3 linked regions of the Oreochromis niloticus genome follow. The protein of the gene in region 1 purifies or fractionates together with the protein of each later gene. This does not show direct contact. Links are inferred from orthologs where the notes say so. Each region holds a gene or a part of one and is shown in the gene's direction. Other genes may lie near its edges.

What was found.
Region 2: the proteins of erlin2 (region 1) and tmem259 purify together in Homo sapiens (affinity purification with mass spectrometry; 3 studies listed by BioGRID and IntAct, with this or other methods). This does not show direct contact. The link is inferred for Oreochromis niloticus from reciprocal best matches to the Homo sapiens genes ERLIN2 and TMEM259.
Region 3: the proteins of erlin2 (region 1) and insig1 purify together in Homo sapiens (affinity purification with western blotting; 4 studies listed by BioGRID and IntAct, with this or other methods). This does not show direct contact. The link is inferred for Oreochromis niloticus from reciprocal best matches to the Homo sapiens genes ERLIN2 and INSIG1.

The regions. Positions count from the first base shown.
Region 1 is NC_031977.2:6,880,849-6,888,374, forward strand, and holds the start of erlin2 (erlin-2), read left to right. Parts: upstream 1-4,508; 5' UTR 4,509-4,519; coding exon 4,520-4,656; intron 4,657-7,526. UniProt on the Homo sapiens protein: Component of the ERLIN1/ERLIN2 complex which mediates the endoplasmic reticulum-associated degradation (ERAD) of inositol 1,4,5-trisphosphate receptors (IP3Rs) such as ITPR1.
Region 2 is NC_031986.2:36,032,781-36,040,605, forward strand, and holds the start of tmem259 (membralin), read left to right. Parts: upstream 1-4,819; 5' UTR 4,820-5,119; intron 5,120-7,825. UniProt on the Homo sapiens protein: May have a role in the ERAD pathway required for clearance of misfolded proteins in the endoplasmic reticulum (ER). Promotes survival of motor neurons, probably by protecting against ER stress.
Region 3 is NC_031974.2:16,865,524-16,873,128, reverse strand, and holds the start of insig1 (insulin-induced gene 1 protein), read left to right. Parts: upstream 1-4,599; 5' UTR 4,600-4,722; intron 4,723-4,962; 5' UTR 4,963-5,105; coding exon 5,106-5,110; exon of another isoform or gene 5,111-5,137; intron 5,138-5,222; exon of another isoform or gene 5,223-5,227; coding exon 5,228-5,334; intron 5,335-5,434; coding exon 5,435-5,785; intron 5,786-7,359; coding exon 7,360-7,484; intron 7,485-7,605. UniProt on the Homo sapiens protein: Oxysterol-binding protein that mediates feedback control of cholesterol synthesis by controlling both endoplasmic reticulum to Golgi transport of SCAP and degradation of HMGCR.

The DNA.
Region 1 (7,526 bases):
TCGAGTCTGACGTCTCTCTTCTCCGTCTACCTGTGTGTGCGAGCGAGTGTGATCTGCATGAAGGTAGCTGAACTTTGCAGCCTCAGCTGCGGTGTCTTTTACCTTCCCTGGCCCGGGCTGCCTGGACCTCGTTCTATAATCACTACCAGAGTCTCTGGCAGAGCTCTCCTCCCCTCACTCCCCTCCACCTCCTCCCTCGGCCCCTGGTTTCTTGTCAGTCGTGATTAATGGCACTAGGGCCCCGGCGCGGCTTACGCTGCCAGTTCCAGCGATGTTCCCTTGATACTTAATGAACTCTGACAAACTTCTTTTCCCTTGCTCTGTTGTTCCCTTTACCCTCCACCACCCCGCCCCTCTCTGTTTAAAATGCACAACACAGAGCTGCCACTGCGGCACCTTGGGGTTAGCTCTAGTCCTGTGCAAATTTCTCAGTAGGCCAACGTCTAAAAATAAAGCACCACAACCATTAACGTGTCAAGACCTCTAGCTGTGTACAACCGCTAGTGGGTTGTTGGTGATTAAAGATTAACTGATGTTTCTTTTCTAATTGCCCCCTATTTCATTTTTGTTATTAGACGTAAGACTTTCGTTTGGTTGGGTTTTTCCATGGTCAGCCTTATCTGTTTCACCAGCAGGGACTGCCTGTGAAATGTTCAAATCTGGGCAGGCTGAAGTAGCAGGAAAATGAAGCTTTCTGCATGGTGTCCTGGGAGAAATGAAGCAGTGCTCTTCCAATGGTCTCTGTCGCCACCTGCTGTTTACTTAAAGAAAGTGGGTGAAGCTTTGCACTTGTGAGCTTTCACCTTCATTTCTAATTCGTAATGTTGGATCAAATGCTATGTGGGCTCGTTAGTACGAGTTCCAGCTCGTAAACTCAACTCAGGCTGATGCAGCCTCAATGGGCAATGGCAACAACTGCAAGGAGTGTAAAAATAGAGCCAACAGTGGCATTTGATATGTTATGATTTTGTCAACAGACCCAGCCAGCATTATTAGGTTTACGGTGGAAGCATCAAACATCCAGCATGAGGGCCTGAACTGGTCTTACAGTAGGTCAAGTGTTGCCCTCTGGATGGCTTTGCAAAGCATAAAACCTGCTGTGGAGTGAGTGAAGATCAGTTATGTACTTTCAAAAGCTGTACATGCTAAGGTTTTGTGCTTTTAAACATCAGCTGTGAAATGCAGTGCACATGAAACAAGAAGCACCAAAGCCAGTATTCACTTTAAATGGAATTATTATATTTTGCATCTATTCATAGAAATTTATAGTGGAGTAAAAAAAAAACACACACACATTTTGTGGTCAAAGAAAAGCAGCTGTGTAACATTAAAAAGGGTCAGAGGTCAAATGTGACATAATATTTTAATGCAAACTATAATGTGACGTTCAGAATCTCCATAAACCAGCATCATTTTATCAGTGTTCCCAATAGAAACAAAGGCAGCAGAATTTTAATCATAATCTAAGGTCATAATAATACATATTTGACCTTCAAGAAGAGGTCAGAGGTTCAAAGTAATGTGATATTTAGAATCCCATGTATGGTTCCCTGTATTGAGAATAAGGCTTTGTGCTTATTTCTTTATAGATTTTGGGTTTTGTGATGTCTTAAGTTTTTGTGAGAATCCTACACTCTTGTTTGTCTCTCTTTACAAATGAATATATCTGTTAGTTTTCTTAGCATATCCTTTGTAGTCTCAGTTTATCTTCTGGCCCTTCCTGGGTCTGGAACATTTAGTTTTGTGATCTCTTTGTTTCCCTCGGTCAGGCCCCCTTGTCTGTCTGGTCTGTGTTTTTTCTCTGTGTGGATCTGTCCCTGTGTCAAGTCTGCATATCCTAGTCGCAGTCTTAGTATTAGTAATGTTTTCTGTTTTATTGTGATCCTCTCTTGTCTACTGTGTGTTCTGTTGGGCCTAACTTTCCCATCTCGTTATTGATGATTTGATCCGGCTGTGTTTCCCATGTGTCTCCACTTCCCCTAATCACCCTCCTGTCTCAGTCTCCCCTGTCCTTTGGCAGAGTGTGTTGTTTAGTTCCCTCGTGTTTTCTTGCTCAACATTGGTTTCGTTCTTATTTTCCCATTGAATTTGTATTTTTCTGTGGCTAGTTTTCACATCAGCTTAATAAAAAACTTGCCTTTTGTTCATTTCCACCTGCCTTCCTGTGTCTGCATTTGGGTTCTCCTTCAACACTCACTGAACTGTAGCAGTTTGTCTGTTGCATAGTTTTAAATTGTACTATATAGTAATACTATATAGCATGATTATCACTTTGACCTTCAGATCAATCTATTGATCTTGAATGAGAGGTCAAAGGTCAAATGTGACATGATATTTTAATTTTTTATACTGTACTTTCTATATGTGGACAATACAGAGCACACTTGTAATCTTCACAGTTTCTAAATTATAAGGTTTTTTTGTTCATTTTTGACCAATAAATCATTAAGTTGACCTTGAAGACCTCATCAAAAAGACGTCAAATTTTAGTGGATTGTTAACATGACCCACCTCTAACCTGTACAAGGTTTTATAAGATAATATAAGATAACCTTTATTAGTCCCACACTTGGGAAATTTGTTGTGTCACAGCAGAAAATGGACAGTGCAAAGTTACAGTAGCAAAAGTTAAGAAGAACACTGGAATAGGATGTCTGTGAAGGTTCTCAGTCATCCAGGTCATTGTAGTCTAAGGAGCTTAGAAAGAAAAGTGTCTGGATTCAAGTTGCTTGAAGATGTTTCACCTCTCATCCGAGAAGCTTCTTCAGTTCCAAGGTCACACGGTGGAGAATCCCAGATTTAAACCCTACGGGAGTGTCCCCCCAAGAGGGACAAAAGGACCCCCTAAAGGACAAAGGTCACTCTTTCGAGGATGCCATTGTTCACATTTTGGACAGAGAGGACAAATGGTTTGAAAGAGGAGTAAAAGAAGCCATCTATGTCCACTGTGAACGACCATCTTTGAACAGAGGCGGTGGTTTAAGACACCAACTGTCTGCCATCTATAATCCAGTTTTGAGATACCTTCCCAGATGCCTTAACGCCCACTCACATCCTGGGCCATCTGACCTCAGGAAATCACATGATAGGGTGGGGCCAGGTTTCCCAATGAGCTCACCCGAAACCCTGGCTGATTGTGACCTACACCCGTTTTCACACCTGAAGGGGGATTGTAGTGACATGCCAGCGAGCTCCACTGGCAGCCAGCTGTGCCAGAGTGGACCAAGCCCCAGGCCCAGAGGTTGAGGGCACACCACCCCCCGAAGGGGCCCGACCAAGCCACAGGTGCCAGGCCCCGATAAACAGCCACCGGGAGTGAGCCGATGCATACATGTTATGCTATGTTGTCAGACAAAGAGGATTGCACTTAGTGTTATTGCACATGTGTGTGTGTTTGGTCAGCTGTGAAGTGTTTGTTGTGGAGTCTGACAGCAGTAGGAAGGAAAGACCTGTGGAATCTCTCCGTCCCACACCGTGTGTGCTGCAGCCTGCCACTGAAGGAGCTGCTCAGTGCTGTCAGAGTCTCCTGCACGGGGTGGGAGATGTTGTCCAGCAGGGAAGACAGCTTAGCCACCATTCTCCTGTCACTCACCACCTCCACTGGGTCCAGAGGGCATCCTAGAAGAGAGCTGGGCCTCCGGACCAACCTGTTCAGTCTCTGGCTGAGATTTATTTAAAACATTTCAAGCTGTCATGTTTACAGACAGAAAGAATGACACACACATGTCGTCTTTGGCAAATATAATAAGACAAAAAGCTGAAGTTGCACTTATTGCTGTCCTCATTCTGCTCTGTAAATGATTTTTCCTCGCATGTTACATGTTTTAAAACTTGCTTGTTTTGGGTTTGTTTTTTTTAAACAGGTCAACCAAATACTCTATACAAAGCCTGCATATTTTATATGCAGGCTATAGTCTGACCCAGACTATATATGGGGCATTAAGTAAAGTGAATTTAACAGTGAGTTTTAGTTATTGGTGAAAGAACCCATTTCTTCTACACTTGCACCTATTAGGAGAATACTAGTATTTCATTTAAAATGCTTTATTCACTTTCACATTGATAAGTTCATCGGTAACTGTGCTTTAGCTCTAGGTATTTAGTATTTAAAAGCACCACATAGGCGTTTAGTGATAGAGCTGTGATGTTTAAGTGATACATAAGACCGAAATGTGTCAGCCTATATGATAGTGCTGAAAGAGCCATTATATTGGGTATTTACAGGTAATCCTAGCTTCTCCTATAAATATATACAGTTATAAAATATTTGCTTTGGTCTGCGCAAACATGTAGTAACTCCACAGCAAACCACTGTAAAAAGGGGCCTTTGGGTTTTAACCATAGTCTGTGGCTCTCTTTCCTGTTGTGGCGGTGTCAGAGGTGTCACCTAATCAGCATCACGTGATAATAACCCCACGATATTAAAACTGTGGCGCACACAGTGAATCAGCTGGCCTACAACACTAACATAACAAAACTGCATCTTGACCCCGTAGATAGCCCTGGCTCAGTGAGGCACATGCGGTTTGCTGGTTGTCCGCCAGAGGGCGCAGGTACAAAAAAGCAAAAGATGCCGCACAGTCAAAAGGAAAACGAAAAAGAAAGTACCGGAGGTGTTTCTTATTTGTGTTGCTGTCATCTTAGCAGAAACTGCAGGTAAGATATTGTTGAGCTACAGAAATGTGCCTTTCTGCATATTTAAACTATGTACCATGGCCGTTTCACATGCCACTAGCATATTAGAAGGAAAGAGACTGGCTAAGGTTGTTTTACTTAGCAGTGTTAGCTAAACATGATTTAGTGTTTGGCCTCGTGTTAAGCTTTTAAAACGGACACTCAAGTGAAGGTTGAAACATCTGGATAAGATCTACCACTGAAAGAGGCTCCTTTCTGTGAGGCAGCAATGATGTAACAACTTATATCCCGCTGTTGCTAAGCCACGAAGCCCATGAATCTGAATCCCATTCAAATTTTTGGAGTTTTTCATTTGGTTTAGTTGTATGTCTTAGGTGGCTGTCACATTTTAATAATTTTCATGCTACAGTCAGATGTTTAGGGTCTTTCCTATTATTCGGCGTACATGTTTCGCCTAAGTGTGTTTTAAATTTAATCCAACGTTAACTTGAACTTTGAAATGCTGCAATGGTGGTGTGTTCGTTTATCAGAGGAAGCTGTGCACACAACTTGTTTTAAACGTTTAATACGAGAAGAAAACCCAGTTTCATTGTTTTTAAAGTGCGCAGCATTAATGAATATATCCAACACTATTGTATATTAAAAAGCAAAAGGTTGTAGATCAGTAGAGAAATCAACATTGGATTATATCTCTCCATATGTTTTTAAGCATTGTATTTATAAAAGCCATTTGAGGTAGCAGGGTTACCAGATTGCATCTCTGCAAATCCTTACTAAGCAAAGCTGCAATGGCTCCGTATCTAGCTCCATCAGGTCAAGTTAGTCAACAGGAAGTTTGCAGTTGTGGTCACAAGTTTACGCACACTCGGCAGGGGCATAAATGTGATGGATGCAATTTGGAGTTTTCAGTGAGCTGTTAGTGTGGAATGGTTGTATAGTCAGCTTGAATGATTTTATAAAAACAAGGGTTGGGTCTGCAAATTTGAATTTATTTGGGATTTTCTGTGATCCACACAAGGTCAAGAGTGTACATACAGGCTCAAATATCTCATAGACTCACTTAGATTTTTCCATAAATGGCGCCAAAGGTTCTACAATTTGTTTTAACTCGACAAGGCCAAGGACTTTTAATTTAGTCCTCATGACTGGTAGGTTCTCTTTGCCAGCATAAAAAAGATTTATTTGGCAGCACTAACTGTATTCACTAATACTCAGCACAGTGAGAAAGTTCAAGGAGCACGGTGCAGATCTAAGAAGGAGAATTTCACAATTTGGGAAGATCTCTTGGAGCCGTTCCAGGATCATCATCTCAAACAGCTGTACGTAGGTGGAGTTATTCACACGTGTCACCACTTGGAGTCTTCTTCCAGACCTTGGCAAATTGTTACCCCTCAGATGAGAGTAAATTCATAATGGGATGTTCAGGAACTACTAAGACTCAAGCCTGCCATCAACCAGAAACTGCAGGAATACCAGTAAAGCCAGTTTTACATCACCATGTACTGAGAGGATGTTGACCAAGAAAGAAGTGATGCTCCAAAATCGACGCCTGCAAGCTTCACTGAAATTTGCAGCTGTCCACATGGGCAAGCCAAATGCCTTCTGGAGAAAAGTTTTAGGGTCAGATGAGGCCAAGATTTAGTTATTTGATCACAACGACAAAATATATGTTTGAAGTGGTCAAGGCAAGGCTTTCAAACCTACTGAACCAGCTGCCAAGAATGGTGGTGGTGACGACATGTTCTGGGGCTGTTTTGCTGCCCTGTTACTGGCACACTGCACAAAGTGGATGGAGTAATGAAGAAAGACGGCTAACTCCAAATTTTCCACCTCAAATTAGCAGCTAGATGGTTAATAGTTGGACACAACTGTGTGTTCAAATAGGACAGTGATCCCAAACACACATTAAAACTTTTTTTAGAACAGATAAAACAGTCTAGCGTCAATGCTCTGGAGTAGTTTTCTCAAAGCCCCGACCTCACCTATTGAAACTTGAAACTCTGTTTAAAAGCCGAGTCTGTGCCGGAACCCAAATAATTTAAGTGAACTCTGCCAATTCTGCCACGAAAAGTGGTCAAATATCAAAGCTTGTGGGTGCTACTTAATTAAAAGACATTAAACCAAATATAAGCAGGCCTGTATGTGTAAATCTGTGCCTGTATATACATGTGAGCCTTGTGGATTAGAGAAAGTCCAAAATAGAAATAACTTGTGCACCAAACTCTTACTTTTCTTCTTTCTTTTTTTTTTAAGCGATCCAAGATGTGTACTGTACAGTCTTCCACCCCAGAAAAAGAACAGTTCAAATAAAATAATTAAAAACACAAAATTACAATGACATTCATGCTCATAATGATTTTATGGAAACATCTGACCACAATTGGATATAGAAATCTATCCTATATCATGTTATATTAAATACATCTAAATATCTAATTAGTAATTAATGCTGGGCTTACACTGTGCGATTTTTGGCCCATTTTGAGCCGAGTTTTGAGTCGTGCGACCGTTTTGGTGATCGGCCCGAGTTTGGCCTTCATCGTGCGTCGTTCATCGTGTAGTATACGTGGGGTAACGAGAAGCGATTAACACCTCATGACCAGCTCCCGACCATCAATCGCCCGACTGTCGTGAGGGTGTCACCGCAGCCGCTCACACTGCGCACACGCAAACACATAAACGTCGGTGAAAAGACGGAGTAGCACGGCTGTGCAGCGTGTGATCTGGACACAAATGATGGAGGCACAACTTGTAGAACTTTGGAAAGCTCATCCGAGCCTTTTCGATGTGGCCTCACAAAATTATCACGACCACAACAACCGTGAAAATAGTTGGATTTACACCACTGCTCAATCACAGCTGCCTGATCAATGTTTTTCATTAGCAATTTA
Region 2 (7,825 bases), on another chromosome or scaffold:
TTATAGAATAACATCCTGAAACAATCGGTCTGTAAATACGAGGCGGTCCGTCCTGCTGTTCCCGTGTCCATGTGTTGTTGCATGTGATGTTTCTAAATCGGCGCGCTCTCATCTGAATGTAAAACCATGAAGCATCATATGAGTGTATAAAGTGCTGCTATAAAAAGAGCTGAAGAAGCTGTTTCAGGTGCATGCTCTGTGGTTCCAATTAAAGCTTGTTCTTCATCACTGTGTCTTCCTCTTTTCTTACAATGATGCCTTCTTGGCTCTCAGTAATAACTGTTAATCCCAGTTGTTTCCTGTTATGCAGAGGATGAAGCCGATTCTGTGCTGCACTAACTTTTCCACAGATGATGTGATGAAGACATCCCTCAGACTCTTCGTCAACTCGTTAATTTCCTCTTTCATCCTCTCTCAGTCTCTCCATCATTTGAGCTTCCTGGAGGTTTTGGTCCCATGGGGAGTTTGCTTAAACTGACCAATTAGTGCTGAGAGACCAGCAAGGCATTTACAGGCCAGAGCACTGCCTTGAGACACTATTAAGAACCTCCAGTCCAACCAATCTCAGCTCAACTGGGTGGGACGTACAGCTCATTCAACATCTCACTATTATCAGAACATCTTCAGCATCAGCGTGAGGATGACGGTGGTTTTGGCGCTCCTGAGTTGTTCATCATAAATTATGATGGCGCGCTCAGAGCTGCCATCATGACTCGACCCTTCGAATTGTCACAGACTCTCAGCAGGACCTTCTTCATGTTTTCAAAGCCTAAACAAGAAAAGGATGCTCTCTCTGGTTCTCAGCCTTCATCACAGTGAAAGCACCTGACCAGCAAGTCCAGGACAATGGCGTTTTGTACCTCGGCTCATGCTATACTCAAACAAAAAAGCTGAAACTGATCTCAGAGGTCAGGAGAGCAGTCGCCCCCTGTTGGGTGTTAGAGAGAATATGTCGATCTGCATCCGTCTTTATTTACAGTGTGGGGGAAAGAAAAGAGACATGAAACTGCATCATCACTGATCAGAGTATCAATCAGTTATTGATGATTATTAGTTAAAGTGCTGAGCTGAACCAGCTGGGCTTTTAAACATGTTTCAGCTCTTCTGAGGCAGATTGCTGATGGGGAGTCGTGGGTGTTCAACCTCCAGCAGGTACAGCTTTGTATGTGGCAGCTGTTTCCTGTCACCATAGTGCAGCGTCATGGCCAGCCTGGAAAACCTGGAATTTTCTTAAAACCCAACAGCTGTTGGTTTTTACAGAATTGCATGCAGTTACATTTGTGTGGCCGAATACCAGCATTGCCCCAGCCCATCATCATACGAGTCATTAAGATCACACAGGTTAGGGTGCAGATGGTGGTTAAGTTGCCCAGGGAGGGGCCTCAGGGTTACAGGGGGATTATAGGTGCTGTCAGTCCTCCACCTATCAACAGCTTCATTAGGACTGAGCAGGTTGGAGACACCGATGTCCAGCTCAGGTAAGTCAGGTGACCACATCTGTCTCACAGAGGTTCAAGGATCAATAGCAGAACCAATCACACACGCAAACAAGCTGCCTAATGTCCTGCACCTTCAGCTCATTATGCAGTTTCCATGGCAACAGTGATGTTGAGATAAGATCCAACACACATCACTCCCTCCTTTAGCAGTCCCCACACTCGCCCATGCCTCCATCTCCTCCTGTCACACGGACCCTCTGCATGGCCTTCACTACATCCATGAACCTCTGAGCTCTTTCTCTTCTCCTCCTCCCTGAAGCTCCATCTTCATCTTTCACCCTCCTTCCTCTGCACATGCATGCCTCTCTCAGCCTTTCTGACTTTGAGCCGTCTGTCTGATGGACTCATTTCTGATCCTGTTCATCACAGCAGGTCTCACCGCCATCTTTAAACCTTCCCTTTCAGTCTTGCTGCTATCCTTCTATCATGAATCACCCTGACACTAATCTCCACTTGCTCAACCCTGCATGCATTTCCTCACCTCTCTGTGGATGGCTTAGGCGCCCCCTGCTGGATGCAGAAGTTCATCACAAATTTTGTCTTTGCAGGACCTCAGTTCAAAAACCCCGACTAGAATCAAACCAGGATGAACACACACACACACACACACACACACACACACACACACACACACCTCCCTCCCACTCATCTCACTCTTCATTTCCTGGAGGCCATCCAGCAGCCAGGGTGTTACCAAGGCAACAGAGACTGGGAAAATGTGTGTGTGTGTCCTGATCAGGTTTTCTGCTGACAGATGGCGCCCCCTTCAGTCTGACAGTGGAAACACAGCTTCCGTCCAGGGAGGAATTGATCAGTGATCAGTGATTCACTATGAGTTGAGTCTGATAAGAACACATGCTGTGATGTCATTCAATAAAACTTCATTTACACACCGTCAGCTCACAGCAGACCGTAAAGAGTGTAAAGGACAAGGGGTGGAGTCAGAAACCACGAGGCCCACCTGCAGAAACGTACAGAGAGAATGAGTCTACAGCAGCATAAGTAGATCAGGTTTGCTTATCAGGACTGACTGTGATGAGTGTGGAGACTGAAGCTTTCAGTTCCTGTGTCTTTTTGGCTCCTGGTAATCTCACCTGATTGTGAAGCTTCATCTGAAATAATATAATTAACTTCAATAATATATCTCAATTACTGTATTTTTGACTGTTCACTGTCAATCTGCACACTGCTAATTTCTTTAGTTTTGTTCTTCTATTTGGTCAGGAATTGCACAGCAATAAGGATTTCACTTCATGTCGTACTGTGTATGATTGTGTATGTGAAAAATAAAATTTAAATTTGAATGAACTTTGATGTGAAACCTCAGAGTTTCTGACCTAGAATAAAGTTAAAAAAGAGTTTTCATTCTGACAGTTAAACACCTGCCCTGTTTCTGATGTCTGAGGATGATGATGAAAGATGACGAGAGTAATGAATATCTCAGGTTTGAGGATTTCACATCTTCAGTCTATTTCAGGAAAAACTGATGAATCATTGGCCACATTATTAAGTATTATTAGTCCCTTATTTATCCAGGTAAAAAATCTCATTGAGATTAAAAATCTCATTTCCAAGAGACACTAACTTCACTCAGAGACGGAGAAAGATAAAAAAGACAGGACAGGAGAGGAGAGGAAAAAAAAGAGGTTAGATTTAAAGATCTGCTCATATAAAGCTTACATGCAAGTCCTCGTGTTTAATCACATATTGTTTTTGATGTGTTTTTATAAATTATGTATTTTCATTTTGTGAAACTTCCTGTGAAACAAACTAAGTATACTAATTTTGTGTTATTCAAATGTTTTCTGACAATTCTGGGGAGTTTTGTGTAGGATAAACAGGTTACTTTGCAATACAGTGGTGAATTCACAGTAAAGCACTTTGCTGTGGTGCACTTTGCTATGGTGCTGTGGTGATCAGTGTTCAGCAGCATGTAGCAGAGATTAATTTACATGTAAGATGATGATGTTTAGATTTGTTCACTGAATTCAATTGTTATAGTGACTTTATACTGTCTGGTACAAAGATGGCATTCAGTATACTGTTAATGTAGAAATCAGCCGAGACAGCTGCAAAACATCTGCTCACATCTGGTTGAATTCAGGTGTGTAAATCCACAAAGAGCAGCCGGTCAGCTGATCACAGCCTGTACATAATTTTACGGATTTGTTGTTAGCGCTACTTTGTTGTACTTTGTCTGAAGGTGTGCTAAATTTATAGTTTTTTATTTATAATTTTTGTCTGACCTGTCAGGGACTACAGATGAAAAGTAGCCTTCTGGCTAAATCTGGCATATTTGCATTGATATATGTTCATTAATACACACTGTCCCTTTTAAATCAATAAATGTAAAACAATTCAAACACTAAGAAAATCTGCTGGAGCTGTCAATAGAAATGATTGTGAGCGGAGTATTTTCCCCACACAGATCTTAGGGTTCCTCCACCTGCTCAGTCAGCTGAACGATGTGAATGCATATCGTATGAAGTATGAAGATGTTTTATTGTTCTGCTTGATGGAGAGACCTCCATCCTCATGGGCAGAGTTCACCTTGTCAAAGTGGGTGGGAACAACCCAACACCTTTAGTTAATGAACGGTTAAATCTGATTAGATTGTAATATGCGTGAACCAGCTGATCACTTAGCTTCCAGTGACAGCATGGAGACACCTGTTAAGTAATGATGACGTGTGACATCAGCTTCGTCACGTCTTTATCTCGTCCCTTTGAAACATTCACATATAGAAACGTGTGACAGGAGCTGAAGCTGTGTAATGTTTAAGTGTGAGGTAATCAGTCAGCTCAGCAAATATGAGCAACACAAACTGTGTCTGTGCAGTTTATCAGGTCTGAGAGTCCAGCTGCTGTATTTACACACACTCAGGGTCTCTGAGAGGACGAGAAGCTCCCATGTGCTGTTCAGAGGTCTTAATCAGACATTAGATCTGTTATATGAAGAACACGCCGTACTGGCAGCTCAGTGCTGGTTAGTCTACAGTGATTGGCTGATGCAGAACAGCTGTTCAGTGTGACGTCTGTGAAACGTCTTCTCAGATCCACAGAGAACAGCAGGTCAGCTGATCACAGCCTCACATCATGTAACTTATTTCTGTGATTCTTCCCCCACCTTCTCACCCGAGGCTCCTCCATCAGCTCAATCCCAGTTTTTGGACTCGTGACACTCGTGGACCAGTGACGTATCAGCTGTTCACCGTTAATAAACGTGCAGAAGCTTCCTACCAGCACGAGGCGCCTGCCAGGCAGCGCTCAGGGACATAAGAACCCCAGCCGTGGTTCACTACTTCCGGTATTAGGACGTGTATTTCCGGTCTGAGTGACGCTCTGACAGTAGTCAGACTCTTATCCTCCGTTAGCTTGTGTTAGCCGCCGTTTAGCCACAGTTTCCGGGTTTTGACCTCACCTTGTACTCCGGTTCCGTGTACCCGGACCCTCCGTCCTTTCACCTGTCGGCTGGGACCGAGACGGCTCCCGGTTCTGTCCGGTCCGGCTGCCTCCGGACTCCGCCTTTAGCCGCAGAGCTAACCCTGCTGCTAGCGCTGCTAACTGCTAACTGTGGCGTTCGTGGGTAAGCGAGAGAAACAACGAAGAGGCCGCGCACAGGTGAGTCAGCGTCACCTGCCGCTGGTGAGGGTGTCTATGGATTACACACGCGGGGTGGCGGGGCGGGGGGACAGCTGCTTGAAGCAGCCACCACACACCTGAGCCTGCCAATCAGGATCAGCTGATCAGAATACACACACACACACCACATTTCCGGGCTGACGATCAGCTGATCACATCACCTGTCCTGAGGCGCAGCAAGTGGAGCAGTGAGAAACTTTATTTATTTTCGTTAAACTTTATTCAGACAGGAAGTTAGTGAGGATCAGACTGAGCTCAGAGGCTCCTCCCGCTCTCACAGGTAGCTGCATGTTCTTCAATGTCCAGGAGTCCCCTGCAATCCTGAGCTGGTCACGTGGTGAACGATCATGTCACACCCTGAGACCCTCATAGTCTTGTTATGGTGACCCTATGGTCCCAATCCTGCTGTCTTTATGGCAAAAAGTCACTAAATGCCACTTCCTGTTTCACCTGAGACCTCACAGACTGTAAATAAAGATGGAGAGCTGCATGCTCTCTGATGTCCAGGAGGGGGGCGCCTGCTGAGGTTCCCACACTAAGAACAGCCTCTCACACCTGTCATTGAGAGCGGCCTCAGGTCTGTGGCTCACAGGTGAGATTAATGGAGACATGAGTCAGCTGACTCAATGCTGATGAACCACATGTCTCAGATGTTCTTCCTGAAGTCATCAGTATTTATGTGTACCTGTGGGGCGGTGGGGGGGGATAAGCTGGTCTGTGGTGTCTCACCTGGAGATCGTCAGGCTGCAGCTGGAGGATGCAGAAGATCCTGGTGATCTCAGTCTGTAGTTTTTGCAGACCTGCTGCCACAGCTTATCCATCATCATCATCATCATCATCATCATCAGTCTGAGCTCACCTGAGCTCCAGGAGTTTCCTTCATGAAGGAATTTAAAAGTATTCCCTCAGAAAACATCTAAACCTCTAAAAACAGCTCCCTTTACCCGTGAAATCACGGTGGTAAGAAATGCTGGTCGGACTCAATGTGAAGCTTGGATTTTGGATGCTGGGAGGGGAGAAGATGAAATGAAGAAGCGATCCTGACGTGCACACTTAGGTGCAGTCCTGCTACTTCCTGTTTCCTACTTACCTGTCACTGTCATTTCACTGCTTGTGTTTTTAGGATGGGCTGATTCACTATTTACTGTTGCTGTTACTAGGGATGAACATTTATAAGAATTTAGCAATTCTGATTCCATTATTGATATCACTTATTGATTTGATTCCTTATTGATTCTTATTGGCTGTGCTTTGAGAGTCTCCACCATATCAAAGACATTAGCCATGCACATTAACTGCACCCTGTGGGTCACATGTTTGTCCATGTTGACGGTATTTCCTCTTTTTGTTATGATCAGTGCTGGAGTCATTACTCAAGAAAAGTAATCTATTACTCATATTACACAGAATATTTCCTTAAAAGCTATGTAATGTGTGACTTAATTACTCTCTGGAGAAGGTCATTCACTACATTACTCATTACATTACTTTCATGTTACTCCTTAAAATGACCTGAAACACAATGTCTCATAATTACGATTTAACAATATAAACATGCTCATCAGTTTGTTACCTGCAGTTCAGGCTGTGGCTGCTGCGCTGAGGTCTGCATATATCACTCTGGGTTCCTGGCCTGCTTAGCGTTAGCATGCTGGCTGCACAGGTGCTTGTAAAGAGCCATTGTGTTAGAAGCATAATGCAGTTGTTTCTGTCCCGCACGCAGTCTCCACTTTACCATCTTGCTCTTGTCCTTTTGTGGAATAAAAAGAAAAGTATCCATGCTGTAGACTGAGCTGCTATTTTCCTCTGACACAAGAATTGAAATCAGCTGATCGTAGTGTGAGTACAAGAATCCGTAAGCGGAATTGATAGCTCCTGGAATTCTAAGGAATTGGACAACTGTGAACTGGTCCTTTTACAAGAATCTGTACAATTCTGATCCCTAGCTGTCATTAAATTGAGCCTGTCTGTTTCCTGCCTCACTCCCACTTTAATATCAGCTGCTAGCTTTATGATAACAGTTAGGTTGGGGGAAGAGCTAATCCTAACACTAACCTGTCGCAGGCAGGTAAATGTTTAATAAAAAAGGAGCTTCTCTGAATTCATTAAATTCCTCCTAAAGATGGACTGACGGTCTCTAAGGTGCTTCTTCAGGTTTACTACTGTCCACCTGCTGCTAGTGATGGGAGGAGCTGTGTCAGCTTGAAAAGTTGAGGATGATGCTGCTGTTATTGATGCAGAGGAAAGTAATCGATAGTTTTTTGGTATCAGTTCTCTTTGCTAGCCTTGCTCGGTACACACTCTGCATTGCTGAGGAAAAAATAAAGTACTGCCGTTGGGGGTGGGGGTTAAGTTCTTCAGCTCAGTCTTTCTCTGTAATAAAATCAGCCACTCTGCTGAGATCGCCCTCAACACTAAATGTGATTGGTCAGATGCTGACACCTTTGACTTCTGGTGTCAAGCAGGTTCAGGTCCTAAAGCACAGAGATTAGATCATCAGTGTCTCTGTTTCTCTGATCTGATTAAAAAAAAAATTACCTGCAGGTTATTGATCTCATGTCATCTGAGTGGATGAAAGGTTGGATCGGTTGTTGGTGATGCCTGCTGGTCCCGCTGAACTCTGGGTAAAAAGTCTGCAGGTGAACTACAGAGATGACTTTATTTAAACAAGCCATGTTAATCAAT
Region 3 (7,605 bases), on another chromosome or scaffold:
TTCTGCCATCTATAGGCTGTGCTGTTTGTTATCTCGCTATAAATTTAAAGTAAAATAAACTTTATTTACAAAGTGCTTTTCAAAAAAAGTCACAATTACTATACAACAATTAATATCTTCTTGATGCATTCTCAATCATCCAGGAAAGTAAATCTCCAAAAGTTGAATCTGTTCATCTGGACGTAGCGTTTTGTGGGAGAAACGTTTCGTCACTCATCCAAGTGACTTCTTCAGTCTCAGCTGACTGCAGGTTTCCCTAAACCTTATAAACAGTACATTTGCATAATGACTGAAACCAGCCCACTGAAGGAACAATGGGCTGTGAGGTCAGTTCCTTAATCATAATTATGCAAATTCCCATGACCATTGATCAACAATCACTGACCAAAACCCACTGATCAAAGAACACTGATCAATGGCCATGAGTACCATTCACAGAGAGTTGGGGAATGGCTGCAATCACAGCATTGTAAGATGGCGAAAGATGTACCCTTAGGCCCCCTCCTCGATTCAGAGATGGTCTTTCCCTTTTCACGTAAATGGCCTCCTTGACTCCGCGCTCAAACCAGCGTTCTTCCCTGTCCAGGATGTGTACATCCTCATCGTTGAAAGAGTGTCCACTGGCCTGTAGGTGTAAATAAACTGCAGAGTCCTGGCCTGACGAGGTAGCTCTTCTGTGTTGTGCCATCCGCTTCGCTAGAGGTTGTTTGGTTTCCCCGATGTATAAATCCTGGCAATCCTCCTGGCACTTAACAGCGTACACTATGTTACTCTGTTTGTGTCGGGGGACCCGATCCTTGGGGTGGACCAGTTTTTGGCGCAGCGTATTTTGGGGTTTAAAAGCCACAGAGACCCGGTGTTTAGAAAAAATGCGTCTCAACTGTTCCGATACTCCTGACACATACGGGATCACTACAGGTTTTCACCTGGGCAGCGGTTGTCCTTCTCTCCTGGATCGGCTGGAGCTTTCTTTAGGTGCCTTCCCAGCTTTGACAAAAGTCCAGCTAGGATATCCACATTTACTCAGGGCCTTCTTGATGTGCTGTTCTTCTGCCTCCCTGGCTGCTGTGTCAGTGGGGATGGTGTTCGCTCTGTGTTGTAGCGTCCTGATGACACCCAGTTTGTGCTCCAGTGGATGATAAGAGTCAAACCTTAGATACTGATCCGTATGCGTAGGTTTACGGTACACGTCAGCTTTTAGATGTCCCCCATTACTGATGGAAATCTCACAGTCTAAGAAGGCTAACCTGCCACTTTTCATATCCTCCCTGGTGAATTTGATGTGTCGGTCCACCGAGTTAATGTGATCCGTGAAATGTAGTACGTCCTGAGATTTGATTTTCACCCAGGTGTCATCCACATATCTGAACCAATGGCTTGGTGGTGTTCCAGGGTAGGATAGCAACGCCCTCTTTTCCACTTCTTCCATGTACAAATTGGCCACGATGGGTGAAACTGGGGAGCCCATGGCACACCCATGTTTCTGCCTGTAGAACTGACCCTTGTATGTGAAGTAGGTGGAATGAAGACACAGTTCCAAAAGCAAACACACTTGGTCGATGCTGAGAGTGGTCCTGTTGCTGAGGTTGGTGTCATCCTGTAATCTCTTACGGACTACCTCCAACGCTTCCGTGACTGGGATGCAAGTGAAGAGAGATGTAACGTCGTACGAGACCATGGTTTCATCTGCCTCCATAATGACATCTCTCACCTTCTCAACAAAATCCAGGGTCATGGGAATTTGCATTATTATGATTAAGGAACTGACCTCACAGCCCATTGTTCCTTCAGTGGGCTGGTTTCAGTCATTATGCAAATGTACTGTTTATAAGGTTTGGGGAAACCTGCAGTCAGCTGAGACTGAAGAAGTCACTTGGATGAGTGACGAAACGTTTCTCCCACAAAACGCTACGTCCAGATGAACAGATTCAACTTTTGGAGAACAATTAATATCAATAGAGAACCATGCTAAAATAGAATAAAAAGGTAAGCAAAATGTATTTATATAGAGCTTTTTATCTGTGCAAAGCAATAAATATCTAGCAGAAATCGATAAAAATATAAATACCAAAAGAATCTCAACAAAAGGCGTGATAAAGCGGAAAGGTTTTCAACTGTTTTCTTTAAAAGGATTCTACCGAATCTGCTAACAAGGGGTGAAGTATTAAATTGTTTCATTGCCTTGATGCACAGACTAAGAGGATCTGTTCTCCTATGGTCTTCGGTCTTGTATAACGGAAAACTGATAGATTTTGAGCTTGTGAGAGAAGATAGCGAACAGCTGTGCATTTAACAAGAAGTTGAGATATAATATAGTCTGGAACATGTCTGTTTAGTGCTTCAAGTGTGAGAATTTTAAAAACGTGATTCAAAATCAACCGGGAACCAATGTAAAGAGAATAAAATTGGAGTAGTGTGAGCTTGCTTGCTAGAGCATTTTGTATTGCTTGGAGGTGTAAAAGAGAAGAGATGAGCCAGTAAATAGGGTATTACAAAAATCTCGGTGCAATGACACAAATACATGACTGTAGATCACAATTTCAAAACGTTCCTTAAATGAAAAAAATGAAGGTGAAAAAGATTTTATATGTTCTTTTTTCTCAGACCGTGCAGGAGTCAACAGGATTCCTCTGGTTAAAAGAGTTTCCAACTGCTTGCTCAAAGTGAATCACTGAGGTTTTCCATCCACGATGTTCTAAAGTATACTGCTTAGACAACAAAAAGTCAGGCACTCTATAATTTCGTTGGACTACCTTTAGCTTATAATGAAGGCATGTATTCGACCTGGCGTTATTTTGATAAGCAGAATCAGACTGCTGGGTAAAGTCTTTTCCAGCACATCCCAAAGATTCTCAGTGGTAAAGGTCTGGACTCTGTGGTGGCCAATCCATGCATAAGGCTGCACAGCTGTACAGCTACACACCCCAATTCCTTCAGTTCTTTTCATTGTGTGTGTGTGTGTGTGTGTGTGTGTGTGTGTGTGTGTGTGTGTGTGTGTGAAAATGCTTTTACTATCCCTTTTAACATGGCCATGAGGTTTATTGTTGCTGTTTTTATTTAATTTCACCAGATGTTTAAGTGAAATCCAATCACGATCACTCAGGATTTTTATCCAATACCATTTCTTCCTCAAAGGTGCCGGTTCATCAATAACCTTCCAGGTTTTAACAATACAGTTAAAACCTGGACAGTTCTTAACGAGAAGCTTCTCGCTGCTTCAGTTAGGGTTAAAAAGCCAGCTGAATCATATTGATCCCTGCATAAATTCTGGTTAGTTAAATACAAGCGGTGCCTTTTGTTTTTTTTCACTGGGCGGTGTATTTAACTGAGTAATAATACTCAGATTCTGTGGGACCAATAACATAACTATGAAAAACAGTGTGAATCCAACAAGTAGATGTTGATACATATAACAGGATAACTGCTGCCTTTAATCTGTTTGTGGTGCTAGAACAAAAGTCAGAGAATCAACAGACTCATTATGATTTGACCCCTGAAGACTCTGATTTTCTTCACCAAATTTCATGGCCATGCAGCCGAAGTGGTGAGGCAACCAAACCCTAGAGCCAAAAACCACTAGCAAAACTAAAAAGTCCTTGGTGTGCCCACAGTGTTACCATGTCCATTATTATTATTATTAGTAGTAGTATTATTATAAATACAGTTATTTCCATAAATACTCCTGATAAATCGTACATTGTTTTTCTCCACACTGCACATCAAATCAGCCATAACTAAGAAGAGATAAATTCGGCAGCTGGTTGGAAGCTTTGAAGCTGAACATTGGGTGAAAACCAACATTGCACCCTGATTTAGTGCCGAACTCTCTACATTTGAACACCACAAATGTGCCAAAAACACACACACACGATTAATATAATACCCCCAAAATACCAAGAGCACTGTTAATTACACCCCCCAAAAAAGACATTTAATTAAACCTAATTGAAATGAAATGCTGTCACACTGATACGGTCTCTGTTTTTGTTTACCACATTTGCTCCAGGTCATGAGGCATCAACTCACTTTTTCCAAGTCTTATTTGCATAAAGAAATGATTCATCCATGGTATTGCTTTCTAAGTGCCAGAAGCTGATATTATTAAGTAAATGTGACTCAGGTTTTTTTTTTGGGGGGGGGTTACAAAGTGAAAAGAACGGAAAACGTTTGATTAATCTTTTTTGGAAACACAACAAGTGAGAAAGCTTGCACGGGAGTAGATTTTCATCCACGTGCGAGGTGAGGTTTTCCTCGGGCTCAGAAGCAAAATGTGCTCCGGTAGTCGCATGTGCCCTGCTGCACGTATCCAGCAGGAGGGTGTTTGTTATTGTACTGACCTACTCACGACCGACTGGATAACGCAGATTCTTGCAAAACACGTTTTCGCGTTGTTGTCGAACGAGCCCCAAAAGTCTACATGTGATCGGGGTATTGAACCTTTCAGAATACACGTTATCTCTAACAGACGTGCGCTGGCACTACACGCCCTCCCGAGCCTCCTTCCAAGCCACACCTCCTCTAAAGTGACCCAAAGTTTACCGGTTTGTTTGTTTTTTTTAAACAAACGAACTGTGCCACTGACCCCATTTCCCAAAGGCTTGATATATAAGGGTGCAGAGGACTGCTGTGAGTTTAGTTACAGACGAAGAAAAGCAGCGTTTGTTTAGAGAATATCAGTGAATAATTCAACACCTAAAAGGGGTGGAGCGTGAGATCTGCCTGGTAAACGCACATTTACCTTTAAAAAAATGAGTAATATTCTAGTTGAATATAAAGCTAAAATACAGCTGTGGTACTGTGGTAGTTAAGTCATAGTTACTACTTTTATTCCGTATGTTTTTAACCGGCTCCTCTGTCTCTTAGACTTCTTTTTTACTTTCTTGTAAACTATCATAGAGAGAATACGGGCTTTTTTTTAAAGAGCCGCTGTTTGGCGTTTCCACTTTCACTTCTGCTCTCCAGCCTCCCTGTTTGTGCGTCTGTCCCGGACGAAGTGGGCGGTGGGGTGGCGTCACGTCATATCAGCCGCCTAGCTCTGATTGGCTGCCGATTCTCACCCGACACAGCTGTGATTGTTTTCTGCAGAGGAAGCTCTCGTCGGTGGTATGAGGTCTGTGCGGTGGAATGGAGGAGCACTGTGTGTTTTTTCTCTCTCGCTCTGCGTGTGTTTGCTGACGATGATGTGAACAAACAACGTGACTGCAGTTCTCTTGTTGTAAAAGAGCAGGAAAACGAGGAGGGGGGATCCTGGCTTAAATCTGCTTGCCGAGGCGCGAATGAACAGGAGAAGAGGATTCTGCTTGGAGCTGACTCTGAAGACGTCTGGAGATCAAGGTAAGCAGCCGGAACAATTTTTTAACAATTTCTTCGATTTTTTTCTTTCAACGTGAAAACAGTGGAACTCGTGTGTTGACTGTCGCGTTTCCTTTTCTAGCTTTAAAGTGCCAAATGCCTAGGCTGGAGGAGCATTGTTGGAGCTGCTCCACTTCATCAAAGACCGAAACTAAGCACCCATCATCTGGCGCAAACTGGTTGGCATCCAGAGCTGAAGAGATGATGTCGATCATCACATCGGTGCTCAGCAGTGCCTACATCTCCCTGCACGACGTCCGAACGGCCAACCTGATCCGCCGGGGTGTCGTCCTCTTCACGGTCGGAGTGTTCCTGGCCCTGGTGCTCAACTTGCTCCAGATACAAAGAAATGTTACCCTCTTCCCCGAGGAGGTGATGACAACTTTGTTTTCGTCCGCATGGTGGATCCCACCTTGCTGCGGTACAGGAGCCGGTGAGTGAATAAAAGGCTGATTTTATAAAGCTTAGTTGGTGCTTTATAAACGACCCTGCAAGGGTAGTTTTACCCGGGTGATCAGTAGTTTGCGGCTAATTTGGGGACAAAGGAATGCAGAGAGGGGAGGAGTTAGAGCGCAACAGCCTTCCCTTATAAAGAGAAAATGACACTTTAAATAATATGTGGTGTGTTTTACCGCTTGTGTATATAAAATGGGCTCTTATGGTCAGGAAATCCCCCTTTGTGAGCTGGATTTTGCCATAAGCAGCAGAAATTTAAACCGCATACAGCAGAAGCACATCCCTTTTCTCATCACCACTGTCAGCAGCATTTGTATGATCAGATGACAATGAATCACCATTCAGTTTTGTTTTTGTTTCATATTAATTATGACTCAGTTTTGAAGGCATCATTAAGTCTGGCTGTTATCAAAAAGTAAAAAAAAAAATGGCTTGGAACGGATGTTGTTTTTTATTGCGCTCTGATTGGTCGCAGCAGCCGGACACGAGGCGAGCTGCGAGCTCATTGGATGGTGTCATAACGGGTGAGCTGAGAGGGGAGGTACTTTTAAGGCCAGAAACAGGGAAGTGAGGGAAAGAAAGAAGCGCGTAAATGCTTGGCTCCTCCCCCTCCTCTCGTCATTGCATGCTGCAGGACAGAAACAAACCAAGAAATAAGAGATGTAGGCTTATGGCTTTGCACCAGGCTTCCCGTTTTAAAGCCCCAGTGTCATGCAACAGATGAAGAAAACTGTTCTTTACTTTCCCACACCTGAAGGTGATGTCATTAAATGTCTTCTTGTGCTTTATAAATAGCCCAAGAAACAGATAATATTTCAGTTTCCACAACAAGCAACTGCCACAGATCCAGTTTCTGTCAACTATCAGTTCACCAGGACAATTGATTCAGACTCATCTGAGCATGCTATTCCTAGTAGGATTGCAGCTAAAGATTGTCAATGAGGAGTCAAATGAGGTATTTTCTCAGATAAAAGCTTCTTGGAGCCCGAATAAGGTGAAAAATATACTAACAAAAGCTAGAGGGATGAAGTAAATCCTCTGACTTAAGAGCCTGGTATTAAAAAGCATCTGGTGCTTTCTGTGAACAGTTTTGTTTTTTTAAGTGACGAATCGAATGTCAAAATGGTTTCGTATTCATTGTCCCGTGATCCAGGTAATAATTCCTGTAACTCCACTTCTTGTAAGATATCCACTGTGTATTTCCTTTTTACATTATAATAGTGTGGTTACATAGTTTCCTTCACGAATTCTTGGACTTTTAATGACAGTATGTAGAAGAAAATGATTGGTACACACAAAGCAGGGAGTTGCATTAAAAAGTCACACTTAAAAAGTAAAAGACAACTTTAAAATTAAAGCTAATGTTTATGCATATTCCTCATGTGGGGGTTTTGAAGTGCATGTACAGCAGGTGTGTCGCTAACTGTGGAAATGCACCTTCAGCAGTTTGTCTCTATGACACAGTTTGCCCTATTTTTATTTCACAGAAGTTCTGCTTATCTGGCACAATTCAAGACTGTTTGTTCCCTTTTTTGATTTTTTTTTTTGCAGCTGTTATCGGCCTGCTGTATCCCTGTCTCGACAGCCACTTGGGAGAGCCGCACAAGTTCAAGAGGGAATGGGCGAGCGTCATGAGGTGTATCGCTGTGTTCGTCGGTATCAACCACGCCAGTGTTGTATCCTTTCGCCATGTCCCGTGCAGCACTCAAATGCACTTTTGCTACTTTTGTGATACTTTGTTTGTTACAGTAGAGTGGAAAAGTACACCAGTAATTAACTGAAGTTTGGCTGCTGTCT